Danio rerio: one gene and its partner. The protein of the gene in region 2 interacts with the protein of the main gene of each other region in a biochemical or structural test. Links are inferred from orthologs where the notes say so. Each region holds a gene or a part of one and is shown on either strand. Other genes may lie near its edges.

Evidence for each region.
Region 1: the proteins of hltf (region 2) and rad18 form a complex in vitro, tested with the Homo sapiens proteins (2 studies listed by BioGRID). The link is inferred for Danio rerio from reciprocal best matches to the Homo sapiens genes HLTF and RAD18.

Annotation. Positions count from the first base shown.
Region 1 is NC_133181.1:44,379,250-44,384,755, forward strand, and holds part of rad18 (E3 ubiquitin-protein ligase RAD18), read left to right. Parts: intron 1-3,839; coding exon 3,840-4,021; intron 4,022-4,727; coding exon 4,728-4,798; intron 4,799-5,506. UniProt on the Homo sapiens protein: E3 ubiquitin-protein ligase involved in postreplication repair of UV-damaged DNA. Postreplication repair functions in gap-filling of a daughter strand on replication of damaged DNA.
Region 2 is NC_133177.1:28,291,816-28,297,783, reverse strand, and holds the start of hltf (helicase-like transcription factor), read left to right. Parts: upstream 1-2,110; 5' UTR 2,111-2,265; intron 2,266-2,452; exon of another isoform or gene 2,453-2,495; 5' UTR 2,496-2,497; coding exon 2,498-2,549; intron 2,550-2,712; coding exon 2,713-2,870; intron 2,871-4,805; coding exon 4,806-4,972; intron 4,973-5,121; coding exon 5,122-5,249; intron 5,250-5,334; coding exon 5,335-5,417; intron 5,418-5,968. UniProt on the Homo sapiens protein: Has both helicase and E3 ubiquitin ligase activities. Possesses intrinsic ATP-dependent nucleosome-remodeling activity; This activity may be required for transcriptional activation or repression of specific target promoters.

The sequences.
Region 1 (5,506 bases), on a different chromosome or scaffold from region 2:
TACTAGACATAAAGATTAATGAATGATGCCATTAATGTGGTTTTGAACTTAATCATTTATACAGTTATTTGTCTCATCATACCAAAGTGTCAAAACAGCAGTTGTTATTAAGTTTTCTCATTAAATAAACAAAATGTTACAAAAATGTACTTTCTTATTAAAAGCACAACTGAATCAACATAGACGAGTATTTTGTTTTGTATATTGAATATTTGGTCCCACTTTATATTAAGTGTCCTTAACTACTACATACTTGCATCAAAAAATAAATACAATGTACTTACTGTGTTTATAATGTATTTGAGAACACTTGTGGTGCTTTTGAGTTGGGATAGAGGTTGGGTTATGGACAGGTTTGGTGGTGTGGATAGGTTTAAGGGTCGGTTAAGGTGTAAGGCATGGTCAATAGTGTATTTACTGATGTAATTACAAAAGTTAATTACAGATGTAATTACATGTATTTAATCAAGCATAAGTACACAATAAATGCATGTATTTACACAATAAGTACATTGTAACAAACTATTAATTCTTGTGTAAGTACATATTAGTTAAGGCCACTTAATATAAAGTGGGACCGAATATTTAAATGATGTTCCATGTATTTAAAACGAGAACATATTTGTTTGGAACGTGTAGAAATATATGGTAATACCTTAATATAATCTGCACTCACCGTCCACTTTATTAGGTACACTTGTCCAACTGCTCGTTAATGCAAATTTCTAATCAGCCAATCACATGCCAGCAACTCAATGCATTTAGGCATGTAGACATGATCAAGATGATCGGCTGCAGTTCAACCCTAGCATCAGAATGGGGAAGAAAGGTGTTTTAAGTGACTTTGAACGTGGCATGGTTGTTTTTCCAGGCAGGCTGGTCTGAGTATCTCAGAAACTGCTGATCTACTGGGATTTTCATGCAAAAGCATCTCTTGGGTTTATTTGGATGGTAGGTCAGCTGTCTCCTTACCTATCCGGGACAGTGTTTTTAAAATGAAGCCATTTCTGAAAAGGACCAGCATTAAGTTTTGTGGAAGTCATGTGACAGAACATTTCTGTAGTAAATGTAGTGTTCTGTAAGACAAGAGCTCTGTTCTTTGACCTGAAAGCAAAGCACTGTGTTTTCCACAGAATGCAATCCACCAGATAACACCTACTCTTCCACGTTGACAGTGTTATGTTGGGAGGATTTCTTTTTCAGATGGTAAAACTGAAAAGTTTGTTGGCATCAAGGCCAGCATGGATTAAACCAAATGCATGCAAATCCTTGTGGAGAACCTGTTTCACTCTGCCAGAGATATGAGTTACTTTCCAGCACAATTGCTTCACAAACTACACAGCATAACTATAAATTAGTCATTTGTATTCTAGACACAGACTCGAACGCAATTGAAAATTTGTGCTATGACCTAAAGTCACCCTCGATCTAAATTGCTAGTGGTGCAACAGTTGTATTAAAGAGTGGGCAAAAATGCATGGTATGAAACGAGTTGAGTTCTCACAATATGTTTTAATTGGATTCCCTGAAAACAGCTGATACAACACTTTTGCGTATACTTCAGTTCTGTTCAGTAATAATGTTCCAAGTTGCTGCTTTTCTTCGATGACCTGCAGTTTGGCTAATGGACTGTATTAATTGAAGAACATTGATAGTTAATATTTTGCAGAATAAATGTAATTATCTAACATTTATAGCCTTCATAACCTCTTAATCTTATGGGTAGCATTATAATGAACAGCCTCGATTGTCTTAATTTAATGTGCAATAGATATTGAAAATGCCTCAATTATCTGCCTTGTTCAAAGATTGAATAAATTCAGATCCTTCAGTTTGAATAAAATATAATATTTTTTTTTTCATGACAAAGATTTACTTTTCAGCAACACTTTACTTTAAGGGGTGTTCGTAAGACACCTTTATAATTATGACATAACATGTCATGAATGTGAATGAGATTATATGCATCCTTATGACAATTATTGTTTTTTTTTAGTGTTCAAGTGTTATTTTCTCAGTTAGGTCATGACATTGTTTTATTACAACTTGATAAACAAATGCATCACAACCTGTTTTTGTATTTATCATGTCAACTTGACATTACCAAGACAACGTGAATTGTCATAAATCTGTTGTAAACATTAACACACGTGTACATGTTAAGTTACTAGCATCTTGCATAATAAGTTGAAAAATAGTATGTACTGTTGTAGGGCTGAACAACATATTGTTTAAGCATCGATATCGCAATGTGCGTGTTTGTAATAGTCACATTGCATGATTAGATTATTTATTAAAGATTAAAAGATAAATATAGTATTAAATATTTGTATTTAATTATTTATGAAACGTTTACCATGTTAATTTACATATGATTGTTCAATTTCAGTACTTGAATACTGTTACACCCCCCAGTTTTATTTATTTATTTTTTTATTTTTTTATTTTTGCTCTATATGTTTGTAATATATTCAGGGTGTCTGCAGGGTCTTAAAGTCCTCAAATGTCTTAAATCTCAAAAACTAAATTTTAGGCCTTAAAAAGTCTTAACTTTACTGAAATATTGTGCTGTAGGTCTTGCAATTTTTTTTTAAACAGGTTTTATTTTGTGCATGTATAGCTACCCAATCAGGCCAACACCCAACCCATAACACACCATCTCAATAAAACTTTAACTTTTTAAGAGTGTAATTTTTTACTTCCATAATGGTTGAATTATTTTCCTTACAATAACACTTGTTTAAATTTTTCATGTATTTCCTGCTGAGAAAGTTGACCTGGACGGACTGTTGTGCATGCATTTAGTTTATTATAGTTTTTAAAATCTTTCGAACTTTTTTAATTTTTTTATTTTAAAGTAAGATAATTTTGAAAAAAAAATTTATGTATACAACTAGAGGTTTCTTGTTTTGACACCATGAAATATTTTGCTTTCATTTTTAATTTATTATTAAACATTAATTTTGTACTAATAAATTATAAAAAAGTGTGATAGGGCAAATTTTACATTTTTATTCTTATTAGTCTTAAAAATGAGGCGAAGCTGTGGGTAGAGCTGTAACCTCAAAGCGAGACGGTCGCTGGTTCGAGCCTCAGCTGGGTCAATTGGCATTTCTGTGTGTAGTTTGTATGTTCTACCCATATTTGTGTGGGTTTCCACCAGGTGCTCTGGTTTCCCCCACAAGTCCAAAGTCATGTGATACAGGTGAATTGCGGCCAAATTGGCCGTAGTGTATGAGTGAGAATGTGTGTGTATGGATGTTTCCTAGTGATAGGTTGCGGCTGGAATGGCATCCGCTGCGTAAAACATATGCTGAATAAGTTGGCAGTTCATTCTGCTGTGGCAGCCCCAGATTATTAAAGTGACTAAGCCAAAAAGAAAATGAATAAATGAATGAATGGTCTTAAAGATGTTTTAAAGTCTTAAATTAAACTTGCTAAAACCTGCAGAATCCTTTTTATTATAATTTATACTGATGCACTGCATAGAAAAAGACTTGATCATCCCAGTTGGTAAAAAGCTAAATAAAATCTTCCCAAAGAGAGCTTTTAAAATCATCTGAAATATCACAATATCTGATTTTTCCAATATACTGCAGCTTTATCGTCATGGCAAAGACCAAAGAAATTAAAACAGTTATGTTTAAAAACATGCTGAAAAAAACATGCTTCCCTCCTTTAAACAGCACTTGGGAAATACTTTAAGCACTTGGGCCAAGAATTTTGACTTTAACTTCAATATATAAAGGTATTTCTTTTCTTTTTTTGGGGAGGGTTGAACTATTCTTTATTTTTGCTCTTGAAGTGACCCTGGAATTCTGTGTGTTGTTGTGTATCAGCAGTGGAAGACGAAAGGCAATGCCCAAGCTGTTGTACACTTTGATAACTGTGCCAAAGCTCAAGAAGATGCTTAAAGAATGCCATCTTTCTGCTCAAGGCAACAGAGAGCAACTCACGAGACGCCATCAAGAATTCACGCACATCTATAATGCCCAGTGTGATGCACTCAACCCTAAATCAGGTATAAATCAATCCATGAAGGAACAAACAATTTAATGAATAATGGTATATACTGTAGGTAATAAAGTGCATGCTTATGATTTAATCAAGTAAATGTTCTGACATGACCATTAATGACTGTAAAATGTTTGTTGTCAATACTATATTGCTTAAAGTGTTAACTGGGAATTTACACTCAGTCCAGCTAGTGTAGGTGGTGTATTGTAATTTACGTGCTGGAGTCACACTGGGGGAAAAGAAAAATACAGTAGTTTTATTCTTCACGTTTCTTTTGAGTTACTGCTCTCCTTCTCACTGACCCTTTCAGAACGGAATTTCTCTCTTTTCATTGAGCTGTCAAAGGGTTCACAGGAAACCATCTATTTTTCTTTCTATCACCCGATGTTGCTATGGTTTCTGTTTGAAGACTGAACTTATGTTTGGATTGTATTTTTCCCCACTGTTTTGTCATGTACCATTGAGTGAATTAGTAAATTGCACTGCATTGGATGTAATCAGTTGATGTAAAAGCTGATTGTCGTGATTTTCAGAATTATTTTGGAGTTCACATTCTGTGTTCACTGGCGGTAATGATTTGTGCAACACATTTAGTTTGTGACCTAGAATAGATACTGTATATGTGGAATCCTTCACCTGTTGGTTATTAAGTTTGCTTCAAAAATGTTGGTTGTATTTATCTTTATTTTAAATGTTTTTTTGTTTAACAGCTGAAGAAATCGCCAAAGAAGTTGAAGCCAATGAGCGACTAAAGAATCAGCTGGACAGTAAACGGAAACCTGTATGTACTACTATGGATTGTCGTTTCTAAATGATAAATACTGTATTAGGGCTGTCAATCAGTTAACCATTTTAATAGAATTGCTTGCACAAACATTTCATCTGATTACACACATTTAGGTTATAATTGTATTATGTATACAATATTTTTGTTATTGAATCTAAATGGCTTTTTAGATATTATAGGCTGTGCTATTTGGATACATTTACAGCATTTATTGCATGTCCCAAATATTTTTAATGACTGCAAAAGAAAGAAGCAACACAAGGGTGATTAAATATATAATTTTCATTTTTGTGTAAACATTTTTGTTAATTTATATGAGACTATAACATGATTTAGTTTAATGAAATAATATAAATTATGAGATCAGGTCTATGGGATGTTTCATAATTGGTCCATTTGTCCAAGAATGAAAAAAAATGTTCCATTTTCTGATGAACAAATATAGTAATTTGCTCTATTTTTATAAATTTCCATTGTAATTTCCATCCATGCATTTATGGTAGAACTTTCTTGTGACAACTTTTTTTGGTAATGCTCTTTTTGTCAGCCACCAACAAGATATTCATCAGATACTTATTTCTTTTTTTGTTTTTTGTTTTGTTTTTGGGATATTTCAGCTTTTTATAAGTGCTGTGACTTTGAAACAGCTTTTTAGATTTTTATTTTTAGTTATTTTTTATAATTATAATAATAACATCTCTT
Region 2 (5,968 bases):
GTTTTAATCTGCATTGGATTTTTACAGAAGTAGGTTATATTTCTTTTCCATTGACTTGTTGACTGTTTAACACCTTTTCCCTAATTGTCTTTCTCAAGTACTAATTTGTAATTACAATTACAATTTGTAACAACTTGTATACTGTGAATGTTGTTTCCTTCCGCAAGAATGATTTTGTTTCATATCACTTCTTGATAAGTGTATCTTTTAAAAATAAAGTATTGTCCATACAAGCTTGTCTTTTTTTTATTTAATGTGTCTGACGATTTTAGTTAATTTATATATTAAAATATGTTTAAATAAAGTTTCTGGTTACTTTGCTTAAAATAAATTATAAAAATAACTTATAATAATATATATAACAATATACAATATCTATATCATTTTTATCATCATTATTATTTTTATTATTAGGGTGACACTGTGGCTCAGTGGTTAGCACTGTTGCCTTACAGAAAGAAGGTCACTGGTTCGAGTCCTGACTGGGCCAGTTGGCATTTCTGTGTGAAGTTTGCATGTTCTCCCTGTGTTGGCGTGAGTTTCCTTCGGCTGCTCCGGTTTAAGTGAATTGAATAATAAATTGGCCCTGGTTTATGTGTGTGCTTGTGAGAGTGTATGGCTGTTTCCCAGTACTGGGTTGCAACTAGAAGGGCATCCGCTGTGTAAAACATGTGCTAGATGAATTTGCGCTTCATTCCACTGTTGCGACCACAGATTAATAAAAGGGAATAAGCCAAAAATAAAATGAATGAATGAATGTAGTAGTACGGATAACAATGTAACAAATAAATACATGTCTAAATATAATTGATACATGATAAAATTAATCAAAGCAAATAAGTAATAAATCATAAAATAAATCAATTAAATACGTAATAAATAAAAGTCATTATGTTAATAGAAAAAATTATAAATCTAAATTTCTTTGTAAAACAATAATTACTTATAAGAAAAAATAAATATGAAGGGAAAATATGTATTAGTATTAGTAGTATTTAGAAATCATAAAAATATTATTATTATTATTATTAAATAAATTGTCATTTTATTATTATTAATATTATTATTATTAGTGACATCAAGAAACTGCATATTATATAGACTACAGGAAAAGACAATAGTTCTTACAATATCAACACTAGATGAACAGTATTAAGAGCAAAACCAAAAATTAAGTAGATAAAAATAATAATAATAATGCAATAAAAAGATAAAAAATCAAGCATGAAAGATTTCATCATGTTTACGCAAAAAAGAAGTACATTTCTTATTATCAATCAATCTAATTGAATTTATTAAATGTTCTATTTCACATAAGAAGTCTGTAAGAGTTTGTGTTTTTTTAACGAAACCTCTGTTTGTGAAAGTAAAATTTCCTAGCAAGTATAGAATGAAAATTTATAGTGGCTTTCAACGACTTGTTTTGATTTTCGAAATTAACAAATACCATCCTTGAGGTGCAAATTACAACTCATTTTAACATCGGAAAAGTAATATGAACTTAAGCTACTGTACAATACCAATACAATGATGATACATTGTATGAAATAACAAGTGACAAATGTCTTCACACTCATTTTTACAAATGGTGCAATTATCAGTAAACTAAAAAAATAATAATATTCAAAGGATTTCTGTATTGACGACCGCCGCCATTCTCTCTCTCTCTCTCTCTCTCTCTCTCTCTCTCTCTCTCTCTCTCTTTTGGCGGGTGAGTAAACCTTGAGGGATTTTTATTATTATTGCACAAACCATGAGGAACATACATACAAAACAATATAAAAGGTGTTCATAAAAAAAACGAATATAACAATGTTACAAAATAAACGAATGTAAATAAAAATAAATATATTGTTTTCGATACAAAAAACAGTTCGATACAAAAAATCGATACAAAAAAAACAATTAATGTGAGAGATGACTTAGCATTTTTTTGTTTGTGTATGCGATATGTTATCAATAAATAATAAAGAGATTATTAACAATGTTTACAAGACTTTTGTTGAGTTTGTTTTACCGCCACCAGTCGGTCCTGATTGGTTCATGTGACAATGACGTAGAATGACTGCTGGCGCCGAAAATAGACGTGTGGTTTCAAAACACTCGCGCCACTCACTGGCGTCACGAAAGCGAGACTTGTATTCAGAATTAGATAACTGACCTACAATAAACCCGTGAACGCAGCGATATTCATCGCCCATGCAGTATTTACAGTTGGCCTCATTTACAGTCAGATATTACTGAAAAGGACTCTTTGCTCGAGAGGTGGGTGTGGCCTGCAGCTCATCATTTTAACTTAATCCACGATAACAGCTTTGCTTGGCATTCTAGCTGAATGGAGACGTTTTACTGTGAATTATATGTAAAGTTAAGTAACTGGTATCTTGATTCTGCTTTATGGTACATTGGCTTTGCTCTTTAATTGTTTGTTGTCTGTTGCTTTTGTTGTTAGGACGTGGTTCAGTGAAGTTTGGTGTTTATGTTGTGATTTGCAGACATGCAGTCATCAAGCAGCTCAACAGCCTCCAGCAGCACCCCGCCAAGATACGGTGATAAAAACACAAATATCTACATATGAGAATATTAATTTATCATATCAGTGGTCCCAACTATATGCTAAATTACATTAATTAACGTTACACTGAAAAACTTTTCCCATTATGTTTGAACAGAAGTTTAATATACGTTTTCTTGTTTGTCATCCACCATTAGCTTTCATAGATTTTATGGACGTGGGCAGCACAATGACCTTATCACAAGAACTTGCCAATTTAACAGAAGATGCAGGACAGGAGCTGGAGGCAGAGGGGAATGTTCTGTTTGGTTCAATTCAAGGCTTAATTGTTGGTTTGCGATACTACACTGGAGCGGTATGAATTGTTGCATTTTACAATAAATCAAAGCATATTTGGTTGCGGTTAAGTTGGTTTTATATTTGTACATTTGTTCATTTTTAAGCAGTGAAAACTTAACGCTTTGAATATTCGGTCTGAAATATCATGCAAGAATGACTTCAAAACAGCACCATTTAACTGACTGTCAACAGTGGACTTTAATAGTCATTGGCTGCTAATATAATTTCCCTGTTAAGAATTTGCAAAGAATAGTTTTCTGAAATTATATTACTGAGAAGAAAGTTCGAATGTACAAATATAAAACCAACTTTACCTCAATGCAGATTTGTGTGTCCAGATATCTGTACAAAAAAACAAAAACACTGATATATTTAATAATCCCACTACCATGAAATTATACAGTATTTGATAATAGGCTTTTAATAGGATTATCACTTTACATGTTTACATGTAATCATTTTATTACAAGTTATTTACAAGTTATTATATTATTGTTATTATTATGTTAACACCATTTTGTCTGGTTCTGTCTATAAAGCAAATATTCCACTTTTTAAATGTATTTATTTGTTCTTGGACAATTCCTGCTTGCAAGAATTTTGGGTAGTTGTTACAATAGAACTGCACAATATGTCGCTTCAGCAACGATATCGCAATGTGCACATCCGCAATAGTCACATCGCAATATATACAATTTTGAGTCTGAATTATAGTTGACCAAGAGCTACAGAATTGTATTTAATTACTGTATTTATAAGTAATTTATGCAAAAAAGAAAAAAAATTTCTCACTTAGAATTTTTGTCTTGTTTCTTGTTTTCCAAATTATCCACATTTTAAAGCAAGAAAATAAGATTGTTTTATTCACCTCAATGGTTTCAATGGCAGATAATTGTCTTGTTTTGAGGAAGAACTCATTATTTCTTCTGAAGTTGAAAACAAAACAATATTATTTACTTAATTTAAATATTTTTAGATATTTGGACTAGAAATGAGACAAAGCAAATTAAGAAAAGCATTTTTTTTGCATTTTGATTGTTTAATTTCTGTACCTGAATAATGCTAGACTCCCCAGAAAATATTCATATCGCAATATTTATTGCAAAAAAAAAGAAAATTGCAATATCAGATTTTTCTAATATTGTGCAGCCCTACTTTACAATAAGATTCCATGAGTTAGCAATAATTATAATTAATATAATTATTTTTGATAGTGTATCAGTCTATTTTAACATTAACCACACAATCTGCAAGTGGAAACAGAAAAAAAAAACATATATTAAAATGATAGTTCACCCAAAAATAAACATTTCCTCACCCTTTTCTTTTACTTAGGTGGTTTTAAGAATTTGTACATTTCTTCTGATGAACACAAATTAAGATTTAAGAACGTTGAAAAAAAGGCAGCCACTTACATCCATAATAGAATCAAAGCATTCTATGAAAGTTAATAAGTGTTCAGTGTATCTTTTCTATTAAACAGAAGAAACTCAAACAAGCTATGGAACAAGTGAAGTTGAGTAAATGATGACAGAATTAATTTCTGGGTGAACTTTCCTGTTAATCTGAGAACATTTTGTAACCTTTTCATAACATGATTTTTTTCTTAAAATTTGACTATTAATTCATCTATAAAAGGGTTGGCATCGAGCTAAGTACATCTTGTGTCAGGTTCCCCTTGCATAAAGTTACAACGATTGATAAAACAAAATCAGAATTATATGTTGCAGCACAACATGGCTTTATTTACATATCAAATTTATTCTCCCGACATCTGAACCTGCTCAATATCTCTTACCCCTTCATCAACTGAGAGAAACAAGTGATCTATGTAGTACCCCATCTCACCATGCAGTATAGAGTGCCCTCTAGGGGTAAAATAAAAACATAGAATCTAATATGACTGATTATGTTTCAAAAAAAAAATATTTGATTGTGACACATGCCGTAGGTCAATAAAGGAGAGATGGTATCCTTGGTGAGAGAGCCGCACAATCCCTATGACCGAAATGCAGTGATGGTTGCCAATGTGTATGGCAGTCAGGTGGGGCACATCAAGAAAGAGCTGGCAGCTGCAATGGCCTACATTATGGACAACAAACTGGCCAGGGTGGAGGGGTACTGTGCTGTTTTTTTATTTTATTTTTTACACACGTTTAAAGCAATTTCTCAAGTTTATTTAAAATGTTTTTTAATAAATGAATTAAATAAATGGACTTTTTGTAATTCAATTGCAACAGCTTCTTTTATATTTGATCTTTTAATAGGATTGTGCCCTACGGAGAGAAAAATAAGTTCTCTATGCCAGTGATTCTCACCTTTTGGGGTAAAGAGGAGAACAGGGAGGTTGTGAATAATCTGATGATAGGCTTTGGTTTCAATCTGGACTTCAGAGGTTCATTCAGTAGTTTATTTGTTGGTTATTGCTCTTTGTTGAACACTTTATGTTTGTGCTATTGACCTTTTTTTTGTTCTTGCAGGAGGTTCTTCACAAACATCTCTGGGAAGAGATCTTCTTGGATTATCCACAAAACTATCTGCCATTCCTTTGTCTGCTGAAGAGGTACATTTTTTGTGACACATTTCTTTTAGTCATAAAAAGCTAATACATTTTTTTATGTTTTAGAATGGTAAAATATAGATAAGTGGTTCTCAGCTTTCTTTCTTTCTTTCTTTCTTTCTTTCTTTCTTTCTTTCTTTCTTTCAAATACTGACATAGTACCAGCAAAAATGTTTAAATAATCAAACATTAAAGGCACAGTATGTATAATGCATATTTACTACATACAAAGGTGTAGTTTGATGACCCTGTGACTGAGTGTGAAATCATGGGATCATGAGATTTGTCGTCTTTATTACATCTTAATGGACTCCTGCAGAAAACATTTTCATGTATGAGCTAAAAATTTTAAAAAGTATTATCATTGTAGTATGAAGCAGATTAAAGTTCATTGTACACTGAGTCTGAAATTTTAAATGACCTCACGCTGTGGTAAGGAAATTTACACGCTGCCTCCATAAATTGTGTTAATAATCCTCGGTAGGCCCACACGGAATCTGTGCGCAGAAGTCTGCAGATTTTTAGCCCATCAGTGTATTTATTTGCTTGTGTAA